3 linked regions of the Cricetulus griseus genome follow. The protein of the gene in region 1 binds, or shares a complex with, the protein of each later gene. Links are inferred from orthologs where the notes say so. Each region holds a gene or a part of one and is shown in the gene's direction. Other genes may lie near its edges.

The links.
Region 2: Hdac3 (region 1) and Gps2 share a complex: the UniProt entries of both Homo sapiens proteins name them as parts of the N-Cor repressor complex. The link is inferred for Cricetulus griseus from reciprocal best matches to the Homo sapiens genes HDAC3 and GPS2.
Region 3: Hdac3 (region 1) and Nkap share a complex: the UniProt entries of both Homo sapiens proteins name them as parts of the notch corepressor complex. The link is inferred for Cricetulus griseus from reciprocal best matches to the Homo sapiens genes HDAC3 and NKAP.

The regions. Positions count from the first base shown.
Region 1 is NC_048595.1:199,688,022-199,692,728, forward strand, and holds the start of Hdac3 (histone deacetylase 3), read left to right. Parts: upstream 1-1,630; 5' UTR 1,631-1,736; coding exon 1,737-1,791; intron 1,792-1,886; coding exon 1,887-1,969; intron 1,970-4,113; coding exon 4,114-4,256; intron 4,257-4,707. Other genes in the region: Rell2 (RELT-like protein 2), read right to left, coding at 72-255. UniProt on the Homo sapiens protein: Histone deacetylase that catalyzes the deacetylation of lysine residues on the N-terminal part of the core histones (H2A, H2B, H3 and H4), and some other non-histone substrates.
Region 2 is NC_048600.1:83,761,836-83,766,408, forward strand, and holds the start of Gps2 (G protein pathway suppressor 2), read left to right. Parts: upstream 1-1,680; 5' UTR 1,681-2,412; exon of another isoform or gene 2,413-2,416; intron 2,417-2,612; 5' UTR 2,613-2,682; coding exon 2,683-2,776; intron 2,777-3,087; coding exon 3,088-3,197; intron 3,198-3,279; coding exon 3,280-3,392; intron 3,393-3,499; coding exon 3,500-3,579; intron 3,580-3,670; coding exon 3,671-3,753; intron 3,754-4,093; coding exon 4,094-4,247; intron 4,248-4,326; coding exon 4,327-4,416; intron 4,417-4,497; coding exon 4,498-4,573. UniProt on the Homo sapiens protein: Key regulator of inflammation, lipid metabolism and mitochondrion homeostasis that acts by inhibiting the activity of the ubiquitin-conjugating enzyme UBE2N/Ubc13, thereby inhibiting 'Lys-63'-linked ubiquitination.
Region 3 is NC_048604.1:29,376,703-29,381,358, reverse strand, and holds the start of Nkap (NF-kappa-B-activating protein), read left to right. Parts: upstream 1-1,372; 5' UTR 1,373-1,494; coding exon 1,495-1,874; intron 1,875-4,656. UniProt on the Homo sapiens protein: Acts as a transcriptional repressor. Plays a role as a transcriptional corepressor of the Notch-mediated signaling required for T-cell development. Also involved in the TNF and IL-1 induced NF-kappa-B activation.

The DNA.
Region 1 (4,707 bases):
GTAGAAAAAAGTTTGGGGAGAAGGGTAAGGGAGGAAGGTGCTTTAATCAGGGTTCTAGGCTCCTCACTCACGGGGCTGGAGCTGGGCATCATCAGGCTCTGAGCCCCTAGATGTGCGGCAGCGGTAACCTTTCTTCTTGAGCACGTGGCAGATCATGAAGCCTACAAGGCCCATGAGGAAGAAGACCAGCACAAGCAGGAAGAGCATGTACAGCCCATGTTGGGGCGGCTCCAGGCCAGGCTGTGGTTCCGACATGAGGCCCTGGGGGGCGAGCGCGGGCCAGGGCGCCTCCTGGGTTTAGTGGGCTGCAGCTGGGTACCCGCAGAGTAGGAAGGTATCTTAGGATCCGCAATAAGAGGTCCGCCCCACCCCCGACCGAACCTAGGAGCTGTCCAGACTGAGGGTGCTGGTCGGCCAAGACCGCCACAGGCTGGAGGCCAGATGGCATCTACGAAAGCCCTCTGCCACGACCCAGCCCCACTTTTCTGACATCCAGACCGCTATTTTTTACAGCTCATCCCGCGCCCCCGTCCCTTCCAAGGACACTGCAGCACAAGGTGGGACGAAATTCTCAAACAGCGAGCTCAGAAAACACGCTGGAGTCAGTGTTGATACCTCCTCTACACCGGCCTGAGTCAGGCCTCGTACAGCCCCCTCCCCTCCTTGCATTCCTGGGTCCCCTCTTTTTCGTTCCTCCCACCCTGGCCACCTGGCCCACCCGGTACCGGTGGTTTGGTTCTGTCTCCCGCTCCGGTTCTGGCTCGGGTCCCGGTTCCAGGGGCGTCCTCGTCCGGCTCAGGGCCCCCGACGCCCTCCCGGAGCTCATCCCTTGCTTCCTCCCCCTCCCCCCTATGCCGCCTCACCGGCTCCGGGCTGGTGGCTGCGGATACCGGTGCCGCGGCAGACGGGGGGAGGGAAGGATGGCGGAAGATGTGGACCGGTTGGTTGGGAGCCGCGGCAGGCTCCGGACCACTCCTGCCCGGGAAATGGAGGAGATGGGGGAGCGCCTCTGAAACTGTCTTGGGTTCCCAAATGCCTATCGTGTCACGGGCCCGGGACCAAGGGGCGGAGCACAGGTGTGCGGGGCGGAGAGCGTGAGCCTTACGCGTGTGTGAACGCAAGTGAGATGTGCGCGTGACTGCGCCGCCCCCTCCCCCAGGAGGAATGTGCGGCGTGAGTCTGGGTCCTCGTGGGTGGTCGGGAGGTCAGGCGGGGCTCTGGCCACTGGTCTAGCCCTCATGTCTGGCACAGGTCCTGCCCTCACATTCCCCGGATGAGTGGAAAGCCAGCAATCTTCCTAGCGCCTGGGAAAATCTGGCTTTCTACACCTGAGAGAGGCAGGATGCCCAGACCTTCCGAGGTTCCTAGAGAGGGAACGCTGCCCCAAGACCCGTTTGGGGCTAGTGGGTGGACAGAATGACTCGGTTTCCCGAGGATATGACCCTCGTCCAGAAAGAAACGGCCCTTGTGTCCTATGAATAACGCCGCGGGTCCCGCCCAAGCACGGAGTCTCAAGCCTCAGAATCCGGACCGGGACAGCAAGGGAAGGGGCGGAGCTCCCACAAGGGGCGGGACTCCCACTAGGGGCGTGGTCTGGATGTGATCTTGGGAGGCGGGGCCGAGGGCTCTTTTCCGCAGCGGTAGGCTGCGTGCTTGCGCAGCACGCACGGCGGGGGTGGGGCTGGCGGCCGGCGGCGGTCGGGCGGCTGAGGCTCGGGGCCTGGTCCCCCAACATCATGGCCAAGACCGTGGCGTATTTCTACGACCCCGATGTGGGCAACTTCCACTACGGTAGGGCACAGAGTTGTGCGGGAGGAGAGGTTTCCCGGGAAGGGCTGCAACTCTAGGGGTGGGAACTGACCAACTCTTTCCTTCCCTATCCCCAGGAGCTGGGCACCCGATGAAGCCCCATCGCCTGGCGTTGACTCATAGCCTAGTCTTGCATTATGGTCTCTATAAGAAGATGATCGTGAGTCCTGACACTTCTGTGGGGGTTTGGGCCTGGGAGCAAGCTGCGGCCTTAGGCTAGGTGGGCTGGATATACCAGGTGCAACCTGCCGCTAGAGGGGGAGCAGGATAGAAGGCACCGTGAACGTTTCCTATATGCATGGCGGTGGTGGTGGTGGTACTGAGTCGGGGGTGTCCCCTTTCGTAATGGGACATACATTTTTGACCTTAGATGGGACTTCCTTTTAACTTGAGGGGAGACCAGCCTCTGGCCTAGGGTTAGGGCGACAGGCTCATCCCTTCACTTCATTTATTTAAGTGTTAGTGAATAGAATCCAGGGTTTCACACGTTAAGTGAGTACTTTGCCACTGAACTACACCTCTAGCCCCTCTTCTTTGTAGAGGGGATAGTGGTTCAGGACCAAGGATGAGGGTCTATTTTCTAATGACATTTCACCCATAATTCCTTCGCCTTCTCCTCCTCCATTTACCTGAAAGGAGCTAGGACAACTCTGCACTCCTTTGTGGTGTGTATGTGTAGAGAATATGGGAATTTACTTTTTTTGTCGTTGTTATTGTTGTTTTGAGACAGGGTTTCTCTGTAGCCCTGGCTTTCCTGGAACTCACTCTATATAGACCAGGCTGGTCTCTGAACTCAGATCGCCTGCCTCTGCCTCCCCAGTGCTGGGATTAAAGGTGTACACCACCACTGCCTGGCAGGAATTTACTTTTTAATATAGAATGTATCTATATGGTTCTGCTCAACTCTCCCATCTCTCATGTAGCAAGCCTGGCCCTTGTGTACCATGAAGGTATTCAACATGTCATTGGTGTGTTTAGGCGCAGGCAGTGGTTTGGGTGTACAGTAGACTGAGGTGGTATTAGTGCAAGTCTGAATCCCCTAAAATTGTCTGTGTCCATTTATCCGTTTTCTAGGAGAGGAAAAAAAGTGTTTCTTGCCCAATTTTCAAATCATTGTTTGAACTTCCACCTCTACCCCCACCGAGGATAATAAATCTTTGGTTTAGGACTTTGGATTTCAGTTAGATTGTCATATATCTCATGGATTTGATCCCATGGTGAAAAACCCAGAGAAGAGACCAGAACCTGAGTTTAAGAGAGGAGATAAGTATAGAGGGAACCAGGACTGAGGAAGCTAGGAACAGGCATGTGGGCCAGGAGAAGTGGGCTGGGAAGATAGAGACTGGGCTGAAGAGAGGAATTAGACGAAATGATCCTCAGGGGTCTTGATAAAAGTAGCTTGCCTGGCTAATAGCATCTCTTCTTCACTAAGGGATGGGGGTAGGGAGATTGTTATATATGTTTTGGACAGTCTCCATGGCTGGGTTCAGTGTAAGTGGTCTCAGCCTGGGGCTGGCATAGTAATGCCTGGGTTTATTGTTAGGTTTTGCATTCAAACTGGGCCTCCCGGCCCCCGACCCCTTCCTGGAATTCTGGAACCAGTAACAAGACCATGTGTCAAATGAACAGTGAAAGGGACTTTTATTCTTGGTCAAGAATATAAATGAGAGATAAACTTTACAACTCTTAGGAATCAAGAGGTTACAGGTATGGGGGTTAGAGTGATGATTCAGTGGGTCAAGGTACCTGGCTCCAAGCCTGGTGACCTCAGTCTGAACTCTGAAACCCACATGGTGAAAGGAGAGAATTGACATCTAAGTTATCCCTGGCTTCACTGTGGCATGCATACCTACCTACCCCCCTCCCCTGCCGCACCCCAGTGAAATAATGTAAATCAATTTTAATTAAAAAAGAATTTGTATAGAGTGAAAAAGGAGGTAAGAGAAATAGACTGATAAAGAAAAGGATTTTTTTTTTTCCCTGAGACTGGGCAGAAAATTTCTGGGAATTCAGGCACTCTTCTCTCTCTTTTTGCTTTCCAGTTGTTACCATGGCAGTTGTTCCCTGTCATGGAATTGGGAGTATCATTCAGTGTTTTGGTGGGATTATAATTAAGTGAGGTCTTGTCTAGTTGGTCACTCTGGTAGCCTTCTTGGGCTGATCCTGTTTGGCTGGCCTCCCTGAGAGGAATTTCTGCCTTATAGGCATCCTGCCTTCAAGGGTAAGATCAGGGTAGTGTAGAAATTCAGCTAGCATCTAGGCAGTGCTCAAGGTAACAACTTCACTTTTGTCTCCATTCTCCAGGTCTTCAAGCCTTACCAGGCCTCCCAGCATGACATGTGCCGCTTCCATTCTGAGGACTACATCGACTTCCTGCAGAGAGTCAGCCCCACCAATATGCAGGGTTTCACCAAGAGCCTTAATGCCTTCAACGTGGGTGATGACTGGTGAGGGAAGCACCTCGAGGCCAGGCTCTTCAATGAGGCCTTGTGGCAGCAGTAGAAGGAGCCTACTAGTCAATAAATTATCATTCACTCATTTGATTGTTCAGTAAATATGCACGCCTTTGAGCCAGCACTCAGGAGGCAGCAGCAGGCAGATCTCTGAGTTTGAGGCCAGCCTGATCTACAGAGTGAGTTCCAGGACAGTCAGGGCTACACAGAGAAACTCTATCTTGGAAAAACAAACAAACAAACAAACAAACAAAATACTTACTAGGCATTTCCTCTATGTAGGCCATGCCCTGTGCTAAGTATGAGGGATACAATGGTGAAGAAAAATGACAAAATTTTAATATTGTACCTTTGCTTAGTAAGTCCTGTGAGGGAATACATGACTGACTGTAAGTGTGTATACTTGCAGAATTATCTAGCTTTAGGATAGGGCTGGTCTTAGCTG
Region 2 (4,573 bases), on another chromosome or scaffold:
CAGGGACTTTTGGAGACTTACAATTACCACCACACCCTTTTTCTCATCCTGGCTTGATAGTTGCTCCTTCCAGACCCTTCTTTTTTTTTTTTTTTTTTTGTTTTGTTTTGTTTTGTTTTGTTTTCACTTTTTGAGACAGGTTCTCTGTAGGTTTTGGAGACTGTCTTAGAACTCTCTTTGAAGACCAGGCTGGCCTCCAGTGCTGAGACTAAAGGCATGAGCCCCCACCACCAGACTGAGACCCTTCTTTTATTTATTTTTATTTTTGGCTTTTTTTGAGACAGGGTTTCACTGTTTAGCTCTGGTTGTCCTGGAGCTTTGATCTGTAGATCAGGCTGACCTCAAACTCACAGAGATCCACCTGCCTCTACCTCCTGAGTTCTTGGATTAAAGACATGCACCACCCCCCGAAATTTTTGTTTGCTTTTAATTTAATTTATGTGTACGGGTGTTTTGCCCGCACATATGTCTATACAGCCTGTGTATGCAGTGCCTGCAGAGGCCAGGAGAAGGCATTAGATCCCCTGGAACTGGAGTTACAAACAGGTGTGAGCTGCCACGTCGGGGCTGGGAATTGAACTAGGGTCTGTGGAAGAACAACTAGTGCTCTTAGCCAGTAAACCATCTCTCCAGCTCTCCTGCCCCTCTTATTTTGTATTTTGCTTTGCTTTGAGACAGGGTTTCTCTGTGTAGCTCTGGCTGTCCTGGAACTCACTCTGTCCACCAGACTGGCCTCAAACTCAGAGATCTCTCTGCCTCTGCCTCTGCCTCCCAAGTGCTGGGATTAAAGGTATGCGCCACCACCAACACCATTGCCTGACTTGACTGCCTGGCCTTGTTCATTTGTTTTTTTAAAACAACAGGATTTCAAATAGCCCAACCTGGCCTCCATCTTGAAGCTCATCTTGAACACATGTTCCTTCTGCCTCCACCGACAGCCTGAGCACTGGGATTGGAAAAGTGCATCACTATGTCTGGTTTACATAGAAAGTATATGCCTACCAAATCTTTTTTTTTTTTTTTCCTCTTTTTGAGTGTCCTGCATCAGGTGCTGCATTTGATCCCTAGCACTACATAAACTGTTCCTGGGTATTATATGTAACACATGCCTGGAATCCTAACACTAAGAGTCAGAGGATCAGAAGTTTAAGGTTATCCTCCACTTTTGTAGGGAGTTTGAGGCCAGTCTGGGATAGAACTCTATATGTCTCAAAAAAGTGGGTGAAGTAGATGAGAAATGCACTTGGAATGTGTAGAACAAACATGAAATAAGAGTCCCAGGGTAAAGGAAGAGGGCCATGAAGAAGTTAGATGAGGAGGGCTCGGGAAGAGAGTACTACACATAGAGAATGGTTGGTGCTAAGCTATTCATGGCGAGATCAGGAACAGCAAGGTCTGGGTGGAGGGGGGCAGCATGAGCAGTCATGGGGCTTAGAAGCCTTAACCTCCTCTTGTTTCTTCTTGTCTAATAGATTCCGGGACCCAAAATCCCAGCGGACACACCAGGCTCAGGTGGCCTTTCAGGTGTGCGTGCGCCCTGGCTCCTACACTCCTGGCCCTCCTTCTGCTGCTGCCCTCAGAGAACTTCCTGACCAGCACTTCAGCCCATCGGAACTTGAGTGGGTCACTAAGGAAAAAGGAGCCACACTCCTCTATGCCCTGCTGGTACGGGTGGAATAAGGGGTGAGATGCCACTACTACAAGCACAGCTGGGTCTCAAGCCTCCACCTCATTCCAGTGACTTACAGCATGGATAGGTGCTTTCCTGGCAGGAGGAGCACATAGACAGGCTTTGATTAGACCAGGTGTGAAGCACATCTCTACATTCAGGGCCCAGCACACTCCCTCTGCTGAGAGGGAGCTTGTAGGGAGCCCAGCTCCAGGCTCTGGGCCCCCCCTTCATGCACTGATTTGTGGAACATGACTCCCTATTACCCTCCCCCATATCACTTAATTTATTTCCGTTTTTGTTCTGGTTACTGTGAATCCCAAAGGAGTCTCTCTGTGCCCACACGAAGCTGCTTTTTCCGTGGCCACGGGGTGCCATGGGGCGGGAGTGGGGAAGGAAGGGCAGGCAAGGAAGCTGCGGGCCCTCTGTACAGTTGTTACTGACTCTGATTTCTAAGGAGCCAATAAATACTGTCTTCAGAGTATGTGCCTCTGCTTCTGTCTCCCGCGGCCTCATGAGGTGAAGAGTTCCGAGGGCTCTTGGCATGAGGTTAGATCTTCCCAGGCCTCTAAACCCACATGGAATTTGGACAACCCGGCACCCGTCTCCAAGCACTTCCGCCTTTTCTTTCATCCAACCCGCTGAGGCGGCTTCCGTCATGACTCCGGAAGGATTTATCCTGGCCGCCGGATGTGACGCGGGAATCAAGGCGCGCCGGAGGCCACGGAGAAAGCTCCGAGAAGGCGGGTAGGGGGGTTGGCGCCCGGGCTGCGAGGGAGGGGCGGGGGCGCGGAACCTAGGACCCCCGCGCGCGCGCTGGCGCTGAGGCTGAGACCCGGGGGAACGCTGGTGCCCGGGACACGTGACCGAAGCGGCGAGCGGGCGGCGGACTAGCTTCCGCCTTGGCGGGTCTCAGTCCATCTAAGCTCCCACTTCCCTGCAGGCCCCGCCTGAGGTCTGGCAGTCAGTGACAACAGCCGGGCACCCACTGCCCAAGCGTCATCAACAGCACCATGCCCGCACTCTTGGAGCGCCCCAAGCTTTCCAACGCTATGGCCAGGGCTCTGCACAGGCACATCATGATGGAGCGGGAGCGCAAACGGCAGGGTGAGCCAGGGCCAGAGCGGGAGGACAAACACGGCCCAGGGTGGCTCTGCTACCCACGAACTTGCCCCCATCCACGGGCCAACCTGTGCGCCTGCTGGCAAGGCTAAGAGGGAGGAAGCGGCGCCTTCAGGGTGTGAGCGAAGAGGCCCAGTCTAAGTTCCAGAGCCCTGGGCTGGGAAGGACCTTGGAGAGCAACTAATGAAGCCTCCTTCTCCTTATGGCTGTGATGGAATAACTGGTTTTTGCTGGTCTTCAGTGTAACACTCAGCTTATTTTCACTGTCCTGCCACTTCCCCGTTCTGATTCTTCAGAGGAGGAAGAGGTGGACAAGATGATGGAACAAAAGATGAAAGAAGAGCAGGAGAGAAGAAAGAAAAAGGAGATGGAAGAGAGGATGTCACTAGAAGAGACCAAGGAACAAGTAAGTAACTCCTCATTACTGCCAGTTCTGGTTTCTTCTTCTCTTCCCTTTCCCCACTGTTATCTGCTCATCCTTCTTCCAGATTCTGAAACTACAGGAGAAACTTTCAGCTCTACAGGAGGAGAAGCACCAGCTTTTCTTGCAGCTCAAAAAAGTTTTGCATGAAGAAGAGAAACGGAGACGAAAGGAACAGAGGTGTGATGATCAAAGTAAAATTGTGTGGTGGAACAGGTGACAAAAGAATCTGTTTAATAGCAAAAGGAGGGCTACTTACTGACTGCCCTGTCTTCCTTTCACTCCAGTGACCTAACCACTCTGACATCAGCTGCCTACCAGCAGAGCCTGACTGTTCACACGGGAACTCACCTCCTCAGCATGCAGGGTGAGGACTAAAGAAACCACCTGACAGAAGGGGCTCTCCTGGAGGTTGTAGCCTCCTATTTCAGCATCATGAAGCCCCTCTCCCTTTCTAGGGAGTCCTGGAGGACACAACCGCCCAGGTACTCTCATGGCAGCTGACAGAGCCAAGCAGATGTTTGGACCCCAAGTGCTTACGGTGAGGATGAGTCTTCTTTGAGGATTTATTTATTTATTTGTTTGTTTATTTATTGCGCCCTAAGAAGTCTTTTATAAGCTCAGGCTGACTTTGAAGTCACTATGTAGCCAAGAATGGCCTTGAAATGTAATCCTGTCTATCTGTCATCATGCCTAGCTTGAGAAAAGGCTTGGACGTGTAGTCCCAGTTACTTGCTCCTATATTGCTGGCACCCCAACCATCATTAAAGTACAAACATACCAAGCATGTAGTGTGTAGGAGCTCAGTTGAGCATAAGGACATATGGAGTGAGTTTTTTCTAGGTGCTGTGTAAGCAGTGAGTTTTCATTTTCCCTCTAAGACCCGGCACTACGTGGGATCGGCAGCTGCTTTTGCAGGAACCCCAGAACATGGACAATTCCAAGGCAGTCCAGGGGGTGCTTATGGAACTGCTCAGCCCCCACCTCACTATGGACCTACACAGCCAGCCTATAGTCCTAGCCAGCAGCTCAGAGGTGAGTGTTGGTTCTCCTCGGAGCAGAGGGAAGAACAGCAAGACCAACAAGAGCTAATGGATGTCTCCTACCTTCCCAGCACCGTCGGCATTTCCTGCCGTGCAGTACCTATCACAGCCGCAGCCACAACCCTATGCCGTGCATGGCCACTTTCAGCCCACTCAGACAGGTGATAATCCCCTGCCTGGGCAGGAGCCCTAGCTTCCTGAGTCCTATCATTACTGCTCATTTCAAACAATTCCCCCATTAGGGTTCCTCCAGCCTGGTGGTGCCCTGTCCTTGCAAAAGCAGATGGAGCATGCCAATCAGCAGACTAGCTTCTCTGA
Region 3 (4,656 bases), on another chromosome or scaffold:
GGGGTGTTTCCAGACTCAGGGAGCTCCTTCCTGCTTGGGCGTGTCTACTCCCAGTGGGCACAGGCCCAGAGAGATCGGGGTGAATGGGGCTTTGGAAAGGAGTTGGGCAAGAGCAGAGGGTCCCAAACTGATTTTTTTAAGCACCAGCAAGACATGGAAAAAGGTGCCTGCTGGCAAATCTGAGGTTGATCCCTGAGAATCCTGGGTTTGGAAGGAGAAATTCAAGTCTGTCTCGGTGTCTTCTAACCCCATAGCCTGTAGGCACCTGCACACAAGCCCCCACACCTACACCCGACTCCCTGAGACACACAAAAGAAATAATTTTTTAAAAGTATGTTTACATATTTAGGAATATATGTAACAACAATGAAAGAAAAAAGGCTATAAATTTAAGAGAGCAAGGAGGAGGCATGTGGGAAAGTTTACAGGGAGAAAGGGGAAATGATGTAATTTCAAAAGAGATTTAAAAATCAAACCAAAATTAATATTTGGATGCTTTTACTTAAAAATAGTACTTAATAAATACAATTATGGATCACTTACCATATATTGCTGGGGTAGTGTATGATGGACTAGTTTAAGGGGTGAACAAATTCGTTTTGTGGGACACTGATAGAGAAGAGTGCTGGGAGCTAAGTACTAAGATTTTCCTCTGGGATGTAACAGACTGAAGTTTTCAGAATGTATGCCTTCTAAGCAAACTGGACAACGTGGGTCTTAGATCAAAGCTTAATCCTAATGGCAATAAACCCTCTTAGTTTGCTTAGGATTTCAAAGAAAAAAAAAGGAGCAGTGCGTGCGTGTGTGCGTGTGTGTGTTATACATACACAGATTTCATAAACTCACACCATACAGGCAAATATAATTGCACACGAAGCAGATTAAGAATTGGCGGTGTTGTTTATACAGTCAATGAAATATGTACTGCATTCATCGTAACCTTCCTTCAGGTATTAGAGTTTCAGACTGGGTGTTCGGTGCATCTTATTTAGTGTTCGGTGCATCTTATTTATTTATTTTATTTTTTTTATTGATTTATTTTTTGAGACATGGTTTCTTCTCTGTGGCTTTGGAGGCTATCATAGCACGCGCGCTGCAGACCAGGCTGGTCTCGAACTCACAGAGATCCGCCTGCCTCTGTCTCTCGACTGCTGGGATTAAAAGCATGCGCCACCAAGGCCAGCCTCTGTGTGGTTTAAATTTCAGCAACCTCATTAGGAACTGTGTGGGCCCGTTGCCCCAGTTTCCTGACCGGCTTCTATACACACACACACACACACACACACACATTGCTTCCTGTTGGCTACCAGGAGCGCGGGGGCCAAGGGAAGGGGTTTACCGACGTACCCGGAAGTGTTTTCGCGGTTTTTCTTTTTTTTTTTTTCTGGGTTGATAGACGCTGCGGGCTCTTGGACCCTAGGCGTCCGGGACCCTTGGAGGAGGCGCGGGAGCGCTTCCTCGGCCCGCCCCTTGGCGGCTTCGGCTACCACCACCATGGCTCCTGTGTCGGGCTCGCGTAGCCCGGAACGGGAGGCCTCCGGGGGGAAACGTCGCAGTTCGTCGAGGAGCCCTAAGCCCAGCAAATCTTCCCGCTCCCCGCGGGGTCGCCGCTCTCGCTCGCGCTCTTGTTCTCGGTTCTGTGATCGGAATGGCCTGAGCCATTCGCTGAGTAGCTTCAGTCAAAGCTCTCGAAACCAATCTTACCGCTCCCGCTCGCGATCGCGTTCTCGAGAGCGGCCCTCTACGCAGCGGAGTGCCCCTTTTGCTTCTGCATCCTCGTCCGCCTATTATGGCGGCTACTCGCGCCCCTATGGCGGCGACAAGCCATGGCCAAGCCTGCTGGACAAGGAGAGGGAGGAGAGTCTGCGGCAGAAGTGAGTGAGATCGTCGCCCCCTCGCTTGGACGAGTCTGCCGGTTTTGAGTCCCGCTTGTCGTTCATTGTTTCTGTTTGTATTTTCGCTTCCCACCCGTCTCGCACCTTTTTCATCCTTTTCTTCAGTCCACCCCAGATCTTTTTATTGATCCTTTTCTAACTTACATTTTCATTCATCCTTAGACTCCTTCATAAAGTGTCCTGTTTTCTCTCTGCCTACATCCTCCCCTGTCTTTGCAGGCAGATATTGCTAGGAGCCTCGGCTCTATTGTATTTCCTTAGTTGTGTCATTGTCTGTGAGCGTGTCTTTTATTCTTCACTCAACTGGACTTGTGGAAAGTAGAGGTCTTATTTTGTAGATCACACACTTCGTAGTAGCTGCCGTTCCTTGTTGCATGAAGGGACAGACAATTTCGAGATAACAGGAAATGTCAGTGGAAAAGTTTTGTGGGCATTTGGGAAGGATTGTAATTAAGGATCTATATTGTATAGGAGGAAACCTTCCTCTATGCAAGATTAGATGAATGTATCGAAAAGTGCTCTGTCAAGCTGTAGATGAGGCCACATTAGGAAGAGTTTTGTAAAGTGGTCTCAGGCGATTTTAAAAACGATGAAAGAATGAGATCTGATCTCTAATGGAGTTGTTTAAAAACACCCACAAACCTGTAGTTGCAATAGCTGTGAGGTTCTGGAGGGAAATCAGACCAGTGTTGTCCTCATCTACATAGCAAGTTTAAGGCCAGCCTGGTATGCATGAGACCATGTCACAAAAATACTTGAATTTAAAAAGCTGGGCATGATGGCTCACTCCTGTGATTCTAGCATTCAGAAAGCCGAGGCAGGTTTGCCGTAATTAGTTGGAGGCCAGCCTGACTACAGAATAAATTCAAGGTTGTCCTGAGGGAAAGGTAGACCCAGAGAGAGAGAGAGAGAGAGAGAGAGAGAGAGAGAGAGAGAGAGAGAGAGAGAGAGAGAGGCTTGTATATCTCATATTTATGAAGTTGATTATGTTTGTTAAATGTTCTTTCTTAGGCATTGTACTAGGCCTTGTACCATGTGTTTAAAAAGGATAAAAGTTAAAGTATTACAGGCATTGAGGGGCAAGTTAGCTTTCCAACTGTAGAGAGATGTTTTCATGATTTTTCTTCTTCCACTAGGGGAGGAAATATAGTAAAAAAAAAAAAGGCAATCACACTGCCTGAGTTTGAAGGCTTTTTTTTTTTTTTTTTGCCTTGGAGCAGGGTAGTGTTGGGAAAGTTAGTTGACCTCTCTGAGCTTCACTTCTTCACCATTAAAAAGGAGTAGAAGCTGGCATTGTAACTCAGTGGAAGAGTGCTTGCCTAGCAAACCTGAGGCCATGGTTGGAGCAGTACTCCAGTAAGGGGAGAAGGAAGTTACTAACAAGGCTATTAAGGTTGTAATAACTTCCATAAGTGCATGGAAACAGAAACAGTAAGACAGTTCTGAATTCTTTTTCAAGTTAGGGTTTCTCTGTAGCTTTGGAGCCTGTCCTGGAACTCACTCTGTAGACCAGGCTGGTGTCAAACTCACAGAGATCCCCCTGTCTCTGCCTCCTGAGTGCTGGGATTAAAGGCAAGCGCTACCACCGCCAGGCTACGGTTCTGAATTGTTAGAGACTTACCTATCCAATTTAAATTGTTCAGCATGGTATAGTACCCACAGAGTATGTCAGTCAAAACTCAAAGTTGAGCCAGGAGTTTTGTGAGTGCATGTGTCTAATCCCGACACTTGAGAAAAATGGTCAGAACCATCAGGAGTTGAAGGCTAGCTAGACCCTGCTACATGAGATCCAGTCTCAAAAAGGGGTGGAGAGGATTTACTGGAATGTTGTAACTGCTTGGATGAAATTTGCATTTTACTTTTAGATGAGATGAAGTTTGGTGTGTCTATTAAACATTATGTCTTAGGCACAATAGTAGGCTTTGTACAATGTGTTTAAAAATGAGCATCAGGTATGAGACTTTTTGTGTCCTTTGTGGTTGGGCAGGCAGTCTTCAATAGTTACAGATGTATCCCCTTTTTTTGGGGGGGGGTTCGTGATAGGGTTTCTCTGTATTGCTTTGGAGCCTATCCTGGAACTAGCTCTTGTAGACCAGGCTGGCCTTGAACTCACAGAGATCCTCCTGCCTCTGCCTCCTGAGTGCTGGGATTAAAGGCGTGTGCACCATCATTATCATCATCATCATCATCACCATCATCTGCCTCTGCATCCCGAGTGCTGGGATTAAAGGCATGTGCCGCCATCATCATCACCATCAGCAGCAGCAGCCGCCCCAGCAGCAGCAGCAGCAGCACCACCACCACCACCCGGTCAGATGTATCCCTTTTTAAATGATCTGTTTTCACAAAATACAAAACCTTCATGTCTGGCTCTGTGTAGTTATAAATAACTTTTTCCATGATCACAGAAGTTAAAAGAAAAGAAAGTCAAGCCAATTATATTTCTTTTGTAATGCCTTTTTAAAAACTGTGAGTTGCAAATCACTACACTTTAAGGAATTCTGGCTTTTTTCTCCCCTTCAAATAATTACTTTTATTTTCAAGTAATTATTTTTATTTTATTTATTTTTTGGGGGGAGAGGTTGAAACAAGGCCTCTCTGTATAGCTGTCCTGGAACTTACTGTGTAGATCAGGCTGGCCTCAAACAAAGAGATCTGCCTGCCTTTGCCCCCCAAGTGCGGGGACTGAAGGCATCAAACACTACACCTGGTGTTATTGTTATTATAATTTAGCTATGTTTATGGATAGGTACATGTGAGT